3 linked regions of the Neurospora crassa OR74A genome follow. The protein of the gene in region 1 binds, or shares a complex with, the protein of each later gene. Links are inferred from orthologs where the notes say so. Each region holds a gene or a part of one and is shown in the gene's direction. Other genes may lie near its edges. The genes, in order: NCU03479, un-17 and NCU08353.

Region 1 (4,106 bases):
CTGCGGTTGCTGGTGGACTGGCGGGCTAGGGTGTTGGATCTGAGGTTGCTGCAACTGGGCCTGGGGATGCTGGAGTTGTGGATGATGTTGCTGTTGTTGCGGCTGCGGGACATGCTGCTGCTGCTGCTGAGGATGTTGGGGGTGTTGTGGTTGTTGTTGAGCGTGTTGCTGGTGAGTTGGGGCTTGCTGGTGCCCTTGCTGATGGACCTGTTGCTGTACACGTTGCTGCGGCTGCTGTTGCTGTTGTTGTTGCGGCGGCGGCGGTTGGGTCTGCTGTTGGCTATGTTGTTGCAACTGTTGGGGAATTTGGCGAGGCTGGACATGCTGCTGAGGTTGCTGGGCGCGTTGCTGCAGCTGTTGCTGAGCAAGGGCTTGGGCTTGTTGTTGAGCGAGCATCTGGGCACGTTGTTGCTGTTGTTGCTGGAGCTGGAACTGTTGCAACTGCGGCGACATTTGTGGTGGTTGCTGCTGCTGCTGCAACTGAGGTTGTTGTTGTTGTTGTTGTTGTTGTTGTTGCAACTGAGGCTGCTGCTGTTGTAACTGAGGCTGCTGCTGTTGCAACTGAGGCATCTGAGGCTGTTGCGGTGGTTGCGCCATGGTGATGGGGCGCCCTTGGGGTGGACAGATGAAGGTCGTCGTTGATAATAAGCAGCTATTCCTTGTCCTCCAGCTGACGGCGAGGCTGAGCTCCCAACTGATCAAGTGCTCAGGTTCCCGTCACCGTAAACCCAAGTGGAAGCAGGCGAACCTGCGCTGCCCCTCTAGCTACGCCGTGTCTCTCCTTCCATACGCCGGTCGCTCGTATCGATCGGTGTCCGAGTTGGTCGATGTATTTCTCGCTCGTTGGAGTATCGTCGTGGTCGACAATTAATTGTCGTTTGGATCCGCGGGAGTGATGGCGACGGTGGGAGGTTATGAATCGGATTGTTGGGTGAAGCACTGGAGGAGGGGAGGTCGAGGTCGGGTGGTCGGAGAAAGAATGACGAACAATAAAATCGAAAAGAGGGACTCTCGCACACGAAGAACGACGGGACCAGTTGCTGCCCGCCGCTGCAGGTTCAATTGCTTGTTGCTAGCGGCGGCACGAGCTCCACTGAACCTCAACAAGGGTCGCGTCTGGTACGTACAATGAAGTGAGTGAGCCAGTCACGTGTGAGATTGGTGGAAAATAGTGGGGCATTTGGCCGTTGACGGTTGTTGTGCGGCTGGCTTGGGACCGAAGAGGGACTTCCGGCAGGCAAATCAGCCGCCAACTTCAACCTCACTTCATTCAACGAGCACTTGCCATCTTCATCCAAAACGCATTCAACATCCATCAACGAAATCACATCAAGGGCGCCATCCATATTCACGGCGCGTACTAATCCGTGATATTCCGTCTTTCTTCTCACGTCGACTGAGCCACGTCATCTCGCAATTGACGTGCGTAATTCGCGTTTCAAATCGCATCGAAACCGCCACACTTTGCCAATCAAACAATCGCAGTCAGCAGCTTGAAAGTTCCCAAGTATATACAGGGCGACGGTGGGAAAGCAAGGATTTACGCGTGGAGCGAACGAACCAAAAGAATACCTAAGCCATGGCTTCCAAGCGGAAGGCTTCGGCAATGGCGACGGAGCCAGAGGAGCCGGTCGACCCAGCGGATGAACTCATGTTCCTCAACCTCGGCGGAGGCAACGAAGTCGGCCGATCATGTCACATCATCCAGTACAAGGGCAAAACCGTTATGGTGCGCAAAATCAACCAAAATCAATCACTCCTCCCAACGAACATGGGCTGACCTCTCCGTGGGTTGTTGTAGCTTGATGCTGGCCAACATCCAGCATATGATGGCCTAGCTGCCCTTCCATTCTTTGATGACTTCGATCTCAGCACAGTAGATGTCCTCTTGATCAGCCAGTAAGCCCAACCCCCTTCACCCCCTTTTTTTGCCATGGCCTACAATTATATGTATGCCCGTCTATCCGCGAGAGACAGTGCCGCAGTGTTTGGCTTGGGACAAGATGGGTTGATGATCGAGCTGGGCTCTGGATATACGCCATCGCCAGTGACTGACACGTTGCTCTATGGTCTCTGCGGTTCTTGTCCGCTTTGCAGCATTGTACCGTCCATCATATACATGTATTCAGGAAATGAAAATACAAAAGAATTTGTCGCCATTGCCCGCTCTTCTCCTTTTCCCCCTCCCATCTTGTCTGCCACTCGCGCTGCATGTTCTCTGTGAAGCACTGTCCTCGCCCATAGTCGCCTACCTGGTCCAGACCTTAGCCGAGACTGACTGCCCACTCTCTAGTTTTCATATCGACCATGCCGCCTCGTTACCATATGTCTTGGCCAAGACCAACTTCCGAGGCCGTGTCTTCATGACACATGCCACCAAGGCTATCTACAAATGGCTTATCCAGGACAGTGTCCGTGTTGGCAACACATCGTCGAACCCGCAATCGTCGCTCGTCTACACCGAGGAGGACCATCTCAAGACCTTTCCCATGATCGAGGCCATCGACTACAATACTACCCACACCATCTCCTCCATCCGCATCACACCATACCCAGCCGGCCACGTCCTTGGCGCCGCCATGTTTCTGATTGAGATCGCCGGCCTCAAGATCTTCTTCACTGGCGACTATTCCCGTGAAGAAGACAGGCATCTTATCTCTGCCAAAGTCCCCAAGGGTGTCAAGATCGACGTCCTCATCACCGAGTCCACCTACGGTATCGCCTCGCACATTCCCCGACCAGAACGTGAACAGGCCCTCATGAAATCCATCACCGGCATCCTTAACAGAGGCGGCCGCGTCCTCATGCCCGTCTTCGCCCTCGGTCGAGCCCAGGAGCTCCTCCTCATCCTCGACGAGTACTGGGGCAAGCACGCCGAATACCAGAAATACCCCATCTACTACGCCTCCAACCTCGCGCGCAAGTGTATGCTTGTCTACCAGACCTATGTCGGCTCCATGAACGACAACATCAAGCGGCTGTTCCGCGAGCGTCTGGCCGAGTCCGAGTCCTCCGGTGACGGTGCCGGCAAGGGAGGACCATGGGACTTTAGGTTCATCCGCTCCCTCAAGAGCCTTGACCGCTTCGAGGACGTCGGCGGCTGCGTCATGCTTGCCTCCCCTGGTATGCTCCAAAATGGCGTCAGTCGCGAGCTGCTGGAGCGATGGGCGCCGAGCGAGAAGAACGGCGTTATCATCACCGGTTACTCCGTCGAGGGCACCATGGCCAAGCAGCTCCTTCAAGAGCCAGAGCAGATTCAAGCCGTCATGTCTCGCAACATTGCCGGTGCCCGCCGCGGCCCCGGTGGTGACGCCGAGAAGGTCATGATCCCCCGTCGCTGCACCGTCCAGGAGTTCTCCTTTGCTGCGCACGTTGACGGCGTGGAAAACAGGGAGTTCATCGAGGAAGTCGCCGCCCCCGTCGTCATCCTCGTTCACGGCGAGGTGCACAACATGATGCGTCTCAAGTCCAAGCTTCTTTCGCTCAACGCGACCAAGGAACACAAAGTCAAGGTGTTCAGCCCCAGAAACTGCGAGGAGCTTCGCATCCCTTTCAAGACGGACAAAGTCGCCAAGGTGGTGGGCAAGCTTGCGTCCATCCCGCCTTCTTTAAAGGAAGCCAAGACCGGGCATGACGGACCTCTTCCCTCCTCTACCGAACCTCAGCTTATCACTGGTGTTTTGGTGCAAAACGACTTCAAAATGTCCCTGATGGCTCCGGAGGATCTCAGAGAGTATGCTGGCTTGACGACCACCACTATTGCGTGCAAGCAGCGTTTGAAGCTGAGTGCCGCTGGTATTGACCTCATCAAGTGGGGTCTCGAAGGAACCTTTGGTGCCGTCGAAGAACTCCCCGAAGTGAAGCCAAAGCTGGAGATCGTTAAGAGCGAGAACGGCGATACCAAGATGGAAGAAGCTGATGAGGAGTTGCCCCACGGTGACGACGTGGTAGCCGCTTACCTGGTCATGGGATGCGTCACCGTCCGCTACCGTGCCAGCGGCGAGGTAGAACTAGAGTGGGAAGGCAACATGCTCAACGACGGCATTGCTGATGCCGTGATGGCCGTGTTGCTTGGTATTGAGAGTAGTCCAGCTGCCGTGAAGCGT
Region 2 (4,317 bases), on another chromosome or scaffold:
GTGACCCTCGACGCCATGAGCGAAGACGGCAGGAGCGATGCCTAGATAGGGTGTATCGAAGCCGAGGACGCCCTGGATATAGGGAAACATGAGCGAGCTGGGGCTGGGTGGTCGATGGAGAGGCGCGGAGTCGGCGGTGCGATGGTCCAGCTTCGGGTCCTCGACGGCCGGGTCGGTGCTGCCGTGGATAGGCTTGTCGGAGGAGAGCTCGATGGCGGTTTCGGCGGCGACGATGCCGCCCATGGAGTGGCCGACTAGAACGACGCGGACCGAGGGATCTATGGTGGGCGATGAGGTTCCGGCGGCAACTTCGAGGTCGATGACTTTATTCATGAGCCTGTGATAGCGAGGGCGACCCATGTTAGGGATGGTTCGGGGCTTCAAGCATGTGACAGATGAAGGAACGGATGCGGTCGATGAGCACATACCAATCTCGAAATCGCGCTACGCACTCGCCCAAGTCCCCTCGAGTCTCATATTTGGGATATACCACGACGTTGACGTTTATCTTGGGTAGGTCGGCCGCGACAAGTTGGCGGAGGTGCTCGGTGAAGGCATAGTTGTCGCCAAAGGTCGACTCACCTCCCTTTGCATGACAATGTCAGTTTGATCTTGGCTGGCGCGTCGCTTAATCTCATTGTACATACCTTGAAGCCGTGGATGAAGCAGAGAAGTAATGTCTTTTTCATCCTTCCCCATTGAGACTAAGCAAAGTGGAAGTGGTGCAAAATGGATGTAGTGTAGGGGAGGCCGAGAGAATCCAGATGCGACACCCATGTAAACTTTCAACGTTGCCCCGGCTGTTACGGTGATCCTCCATCTAGCGGCAGCGTCATGTGCAGGGGCCTGCAGGGCCAGTGTGGGGGCGGGGCCGCGCTATGGAAGGGACCTCCCAGGGGAACTCCAGTGGATGATGCATGGACACCTGGTCCGGTCTTGCCCTTGCTTGCCGCTTGGGGCCAGATCCCATCTTCCACAGGGGCCGCGGCAGCTTTGAAATGTCATCTGTTCTCCAAATCCATACTTCTACTCTATCGTCATTTGACCTTCACTCCGATGGTACGTACCTAGCATTAGACCAAAGTTGAATTGGTACTTACAGCCGATATAATAGAATACGTCCCTGAATATTAGACCGATGTTTACTGCAAAAATGGAACTGATTCTGCCAACTCACCTGTCCCCATGGCGTTACTCGAATGTACTGTAAGATGCCCAGAAGTGGACAGACGGACATCCTACGCCTACCTACCTAGGTACTTGAAGGAACAGGTCGGGTTGTCTGGGGAAGACCTTCTTCTACCTGAAATGCGGCAGTCCAGCGGCCTTTGCAATGTGACGATTGAGCTTTTCAGAGCTTGACTCCCTGAATTGTCGGAACCAAGACACCAAAACCTAAGCCAACATGATACCCGTCTTATTATGGTGGGGGTACCAAAGTACTTGAATTTCAGTGGAGATTAGGTATCCCCGTGCGGGTCCCAGGATACTCGTCAGAGGTTTACGGGTGATTCCTGCAGGTTGCATTTCAAGTTGCAGTGTCCAGCGTCTCTGAAATAACAGGACATTGCTTCGCGCCAATCATGCTGCCAGACTTGTGGTGAGTGGGAGTCCGTGCTCAACACCCAGGCTGAACCGAGACGCGCCGAGTCGGCGACGTGCTTTTTGTCTTCTGCGACAACCTACCTAACGCAGCCCCTTCATCCATCCCCATCGATCACCCTGTCTGGTTTCGGCTTCTCCGACTGCCCCAGGGTCGATATCAGAATCAATCAGCTATCCGGTATCACCATCTTTCGAATCAACAAAAAGCACAGCATATCATGACCTGAGCGTTCTTTGCCTTACGTGGAGCTGCTTGGTTCCTTCTGTTCAATCCCATCATAGACTTCTATTTTCGCCCGTCAGCGTTCTCTCACTGCGCCTGCGCTCCTCTCTTTTGCGCGCGCGATCCAGTTTTCCTCTTGTCGCGACCAGCGTCATCGATCAGTCCTGCACGACATATTTCGTCTTCGATACTCTTAGCGGCGCATCCAGCACGCTTCCTCGTCCCACCGCGCTTCGTGCCACCATGTCGAACCCCGAACAAACCTTGGGCGTAACGCCTCCTATCTCGACCACGCTACCTACCGACGCCGAGAAACGACAGACCGAGGCCCTTCTCAAAGAGCTGCGCGCGCAGGGCACCTTCGAAAGTCAGGCCGAAACTGATAAGCGATGGGCGGTGCTCGCAGATCTCCAGCGCATTACTGATGAATTCGTGAAGAGGGCCGCGCAGGAAAAGGAGCCGCACAATGCCATTTTGATTCGCGACGCTCGAGGCAGAATATTCACATATGGCAGTTTTCGCTTGGGTGTGTATGGGCCAGGATCCGATATCGATACCCTCGTCGTTGTACCCAAGTACGTCACCGTCAAGCAATACTTCGACATCTTTCCCAACCTTCTTGTCGAAATGGCTCCCCCTGGCGCCATCACCGACCTGACTCCAGTACCCGAGGCCTTCGTTCCTATCATCAAGTTCGAGTATTCGGGCATCAGCATAGATCTTATCTTCTGTTCAATCCAGAGCCTTCGTCAACTTCCTGACGACAAGGACTGGAATTTGAACAGTAACAACCTCCTGCGCGGCTTGTCCGAAAACGAGGTGCGCTCGCTCAACGGAACACGCGTAACCGACGAGATCCTTGCGCTGGTTCCCGAAGAGAAGACGTTCAAGCTGGCACTTCGTGCAATCAAGCTCTGGGCTCAGAGAAGGGCTATCTACGCCAATATCATGGGTTATCCTGGTGGTGTGGCTTGGGCTATGCTGGTCGCCAGAGTATGCCAACTCTATCCGAAGGCGACGAGTGCTGTCATCGTCAGGAAATTCTTCACTATTATGCTCAACTGGCCATGGCCGCTCCCGGTTCTTCTGAAGAATATCGAATACAACCAGTCCATTACGCGTGTAGCGGTGTGGAATCCCAAGGTAAGTCAACCCCTCATCATTGTCGCGCTGATGTCTCACCACAGACTAGATATACCCGAGTGATCGCAATCACAAGATGCCCATCATCACCCCATCATACCCTTCCATGTGCGCGACACACAATGTTGGAAGGTCTTCAATGGCGGTCATTCAACAGGAGCTGGAACGGGGGGTGCAGATTTCCGAAGAGATCATGTTGGGTAAAAGGCCTTGGAAAGATTTGTTCGAGAAACACACCTTTTTCACCAACGGCTTCAAGTTTTACCTGACGGTCATCTCATCCGGCAGGACCAAAGAGGCGCAGAATACCTGGTCGGGCTTCGTCGAGTCAAGAGTGCGTGTTCTGGTCCAGAAGCTTGAGCTGCACCCTTCCATCGCCCTTGCCCGCCCCTTCAACAAAGGTTACGACAGAGTGCACCGATGCAAGACGGATGCTCAGGTCGAAGAGATTCAAACCGGAAATCTCACATACATGGTCAAGCCGACGGATATAGCCGCGAATGGGAGCGCCAAGAACGACAGCAAGGTTGAGGTCAAGGCGGAGATCAAGACGGAGGATGGTGTTGCACGGGAGCCGACTGTGCCGGCTGTCAAGGAAGAACCGAACGACGTGGTACATCTAGGAACGGTACCTCTAAAGCCTGAGGACAACTCTGTAAAGCCTGAGGCCAACGACTACGACGAAGACAAGGTTAAGCTGGAGGATATACCGGAGAAGGAGCCGGAGCTTGAGATTTACACCACTAACCATTACATCGGCCTGCAGCTGGTAGAGGGAGCTAAGTCTCTGGATCTGTCCAGAGAAGTCGACGACTTCAAGGCAATGTGCACCTCGAACGACATCTTCAAAGCAGAGTTGATGGGATTGACTATCCAGCACGTTAGGAATTTCGATCTCCCCGACGACGTTTTCGAGCCTGGAGAGACGAAGCCTGTTAGGCCAGTCAAGAAGAAGAAGCGTATGGCCGAAGGGGAACATGCGAACGGCCCGATGGCCAAGCGACAACAGATGGCGACCGCGCCACCGACCATTAAGAGCGAACACTGATCGAAGGATGTACAGACAGATTTTGTTGGCGGTCACGGACAAATTAGTTGCTATGTGCGAGCAGTACCACGCGCGAGGTGTAGAGAAATGTATCTAAGATAGAGTTGCTAAATCTGCTAGACTAATAAATTTAGTTTTTCGGGGCACAAGTGCCCCATCAACTAAGCCAAGTTTCCATCTCGCAGTGGTCTTTGCGTCCGTGACTTTTCATCTCACTTCTTGCTCTATTATACATCATCTTAACAAATTCTTTGCTGCGTCGATTGCTTCTGCTAATGAATTGAGCTGTTAGTTCCGT
Region 3 (3,489 bases), on another chromosome or scaffold:
AGGTCTCACGACCCCCCAAAGCGATCAATGCATCCGGAATTTTTTCGAGACCGACGAACTCCTTGTCGCTGAACACAGTCGGTTTGAACTTGCCTTCGGCAATCAACTTCATGATGCCCTGCCACACGGTCACCACCGTCTCCTTCTCATGGACAGCGTATTGGCCCCAGTGAACACCGACGAGGCTGATGTTCTTGAGAAGAACCTTGTTCATGGCCACCTTCTCGATCTTGCCGGCAGCGAAACCGACAATCAGGATGCGGCCATTCCACGCAGTACATTTGGTGCTCAGATCTACCAGGCCGACAGGATCGTAGACAATGTCAACACCCTTGCCTTTAGGGGTCAACTTCTTCACCATCTCGGGCCACTTGGGGTCCGTGTAGTCGACGACATGATCAGCGCCAAAGGACTTGGCGACTTCGAGCTTGTGCTTGGTTCCGGCCGTAGCAATGACAGTTGCTCCAAACGCCTTTGCAACTATGTGTGGGATTAGCAACGAAGTAGTTCATCTTCGAGACGGGTATGTATGCCACTAACCTTGGACTGCGGCAAGACCTACACCACCGGCCGCAGCGTGAACAAGGACGAAGTCGCCCTTCTTGACGCCGGCCCGAACAACAAGGGCTCCATAGCTGGTTGGTGCCGTCACAAAGAGGCCGGCAGCATCCACAAGCGACCAGCCTTCGGGAGCTGGGAGGAGGGCCGTCTCCTTGGCTTTGACTTTGGTAGCGTACGCACCCTGGCTAGCTCCAAACACACGTGAACCGACGGGGAACTTGGGGTCCTTGAGGCCGGAAGGGGTGGCGAGAACCACGCCGGCGAACTCGGCACCTGATACCCAGGGGAATGCTAAGACGCAACGTCAGCATACTGAATGCAATGTAAGCGGGACTCAATAAAGAAGCCGCACGTGGTTGATTCTGGTATTTGCCCTGAATCTGAAGAATGTCGAAAAAGTTGGTTGCCGCAGCATGAACTTCAATCAAGTACTCATCTGAAGTAGGTGTAGGGTCTGGAAGCTCCGTGACCCTGAGCTCTTGCGGGCTCTGAGTTAAGGGCTAATGTTAGAACCACGAAATGGGAAGATGTCCTGGATGATCGAGATAGGACATACCTTAACATACTGTGCCACCTGAATGCCTCTCATCTGGGAAGGATACCTGGAGTAATAGAGTGCTTTGTTACACTGGAAAGAAGCAGACGCAGAAACACCGAGTGAGATACACAAGCAGTGAAAGAATGACAACCTATATGATTAAACAAGGGTACAATATGGTTGAACAAATGCCGAATAGCCATCGCGGGGGTGACCGCTAGCCCAGTGTAAGGGAAGCCGAGGTAGCCCAGACCGGGATAGCTGATCTCTGATTGGTCACTCACCTTGCATCTCTCGGTGAGTCCACGTCTTATCGATTTCCAACAATCGATTTGCGACTTGTTGCACTCTTTCTCTCCAAACTCTCAACCACACCTTGCTTCAATTTTTTGAATGGCGCAACCTGCTGTGCGAACTTCTCCCGACCAAAGCCGAATTTGAAACTGGGCAAACGCAGCAAAGAATACGACTCTTGGTTAAGCGTGCATAAACACAAGCCACGCGCATTCTCTAGGCAAGATTCATTACGACTGGTCGCCCAGCTACATACCTCTCCGAACCGATCGTGAACCGCTCGCGACAAAACAAGCCTACCCACCTTGAAGCCCGAATCGCACCGGCGAACCACCTTTTTCCCCCCCTCACACATCCGCCGAGATGGCGACAACAACACAGACAACAACAAACTCCCTCCCCTCTGGGGCAGGAGGACCGCAACAACTCGTCACTCAGATGCTCAACCACACCGCGCCACACTATACCTTCTCCTTCACGCCCTTCCTCCAGCGCACGTACCAGCACTCTCTCCCCGCCGACCGACCCATCTGCAAAGCCTACGCCTCAGGCAACTGCCCCCTCAAATCCCACTGCCCCGAGCGCCACGTTACCGCGTCGTCCCAAAACACCCATGGCGGCGGTAACACCTTCAGCGGCGGCTTCGGCTCGCTAGTCTGCAAGCATTGGCTGCGCGGCCTCTGCAAAAAGGGCGAATCGTGCGAGTTCCTGCACGAGTACAACCTGCGCAAGATGCCCGAGTGCAATTTCTTCGTCAGGAACGGGTACTGCAGCAACGGGGACGAGTGTCTGTATCTGCACATTGATCCGCTGTCGAGATTGCCGCCGTGCCCGCATTACGAGAGGGGGTTCTGTCCGCTGGGACCGCGATGTGACAAGAAGCATTTCCGGAGGAAGCTGTGTTTGTATTACCTGGCGGGCTTCTGTCCGGATGGGAAGGGCTGCAAGGAGGGCGCGCATCCGAGGTGGACGGCGGATAAGGATATGGAGAAGCCGAGGGCGAAGGGGGAGGGAGATCAGATGCTGCTGCAGCAGCAACAGCAGCAGCAACAACAACAACACATGGGCGATGCTAATGGTATGGGTGGTGGAATGGCGCAGGCGACGGGCGCGAATGAGTATATGGACCGAGAGAGGGAGCGCGATCGGGATAACAGGGAGAGGGAGATGATGATGCAGGGACGCGATAGGGACGGTGGCGGGCATGATCGCCATAAGGATCGCTTTGGAGGCGGAGGAGGAGGAGGAGGAGGAGGCAGAGGCCGAGGAGGATGGAGGGGAAGAGGAAGGGGAGGATTTAGGGGTAAAGGTCATTAAGAGAACATTGGTCCCAAAGCGGCCAGGGGAGGTCAAATGGTACATGAACATAGCGACATATTTAGGCTAGTGCTCGGACGATGAGAAGGCCCAGGAATCCGGTAGTAAAGACCAGGTATGCATCACGGAATAAGGAATAGGTCACGGCGCAAAGGCAAGGTTATATCTAGTGTATTAGCTGTAGGTCAGGTTTACATTCACAGGGTTTGTGAGATTCTTATAAAAATTGCTAGCTTGACAGTTTTGAGGAGCTGTGATCTGTATGTTCTTCCAAAATAGACTGAGAGGGACGAGATCCCAAAACATGAACGCCGCTCCCTACCTAGGACACCCGTAACCAAATGATAATCAACCCACCGTCTGAGATGCTATGGCATATGCCATTCTTGTCGACACTGCCTTCTTTTGTACTCTTCCAAACTATTCCCATGAAGACTTTACTCCATCGGCACCGCAACAAACAACTCATTCGATGTGCGGGCCCCAGTCCCCACCTCCTCCTCATCCCCATTCTCGCTTCCCATAGACCTCACCGAGCCACCCGACCTTGGGCTATTAAACGAGCTATGACTCGACTGCCACGCCGCCAGCTCGTCCACCGTCCGGATACCCATCATCCACGCCACCAGCCCGCGCGGCACCCAGCGTCCGACAAACCCATACACGCTCGCGCCGAGGCCGACGCGCACAGTGCCCTTGGTAATGGACCCGTCAATCACGTCAAAAACAGCATTATGCAGCTCCCGCAACGAGCTGCCGCGCATCCCGCGGATGCGGCC

Evidence for each region.
Region 2: NCU03479 (region 1) and un-17 share a complex: the UniProt entries of both Saccharomyces cerevisiae proteins name them as parts of the cleavage and polyadenylation factor (CPF) complex. The link is inferred for Neurospora crassa OR74A from reciprocal best matches to the Saccharomyces cerevisiae genes YSH1 and PAP1.
Region 3: NCU03479 (region 1) and NCU08353 share a complex: the UniProt entries of both Saccharomyces cerevisiae proteins name them as parts of the cleavage and polyadenylation factor (CPF) complex. The link is inferred for Neurospora crassa OR74A from reciprocal best matches to the Saccharomyces cerevisiae genes YSH1 and YTH1.

The regions. Positions count from the first base shown.
Region 1 is NC_026502.1:551,247-555,352, forward strand, and holds the start of NCU03479 (endoribonuclease ysh-1), read left to right. Parts: upstream 1-1,253; 5' UTR 1,254-1,579; coding exon 1,580-1,729; intron 1,730-1,801; coding exon 1,802-1,899; intron 1,900-2,293; coding exon 2,294-4,104; intron 4,105-4,106. Other genes in the region: NCU03480 (hypothetical protein), read right to left, coding at 1-597. UniProt on the Saccharomyces cerevisiae protein: Component of the cleavage and polyadenylation factor (CPF) complex, which plays a key role in polyadenylation-dependent pre-mRNA 3'-end formation and cooperates with cleavage factors including the CFIA complex and NAB4/CFIB. Has endonuclease activity.
Region 2 is NC_026503.1:4,131,056-4,135,372, reverse strand, and holds un-17 (Poly(A) polymerase), read left to right. Parts: upstream 1-1,511; 5' UTR 1,512-2,071; coding exon 2,072-2,971; intron 2,972-3,020; coding exon 3,021-4,019; 3' UTR 4,020-4,242; downstream 4,243-4,317. Other genes in the region: NCU08984 (hypothetical protein), read right to left, coding at 1-337, 429-586, 648-689. UniProt on the Saccharomyces cerevisiae protein: Polymerase component of the cleavage and polyadenylation factor (CPF) complex, which plays a key role in polyadenylation-dependent pre-mRNA 3'-end formation and cooperates with cleavage factors including the CFIA complex and NAB4/CFIB.
Region 3 is NC_026501.1:5,654,066-5,657,554, reverse strand, and holds NCU08353 (mRNA 3'-end-processing protein yth-1), read left to right. Parts: upstream 1-1,436; 5' UTR 1,437-1,756; coding exon 1,757-2,710; 3' UTR 2,711-2,947; downstream 2,948-3,489. Other genes in the region: NCU11325 (alcohol dehydrogenase), read right to left, coding at 1-480, 541-852, 914-1,049, 1,118-1,150; NCU08354 (hypothetical protein), read right to left, coding at 3,148-3,489. UniProt on the Saccharomyces cerevisiae protein: RNA-binding component of the cleavage and polyadenylation factor (CPF) complex, which plays a key role in polyadenylation-dependent pre-mRNA 3'-end formation and cooperates with cleavage factors including the CFIA complex and NAB4/CFIB.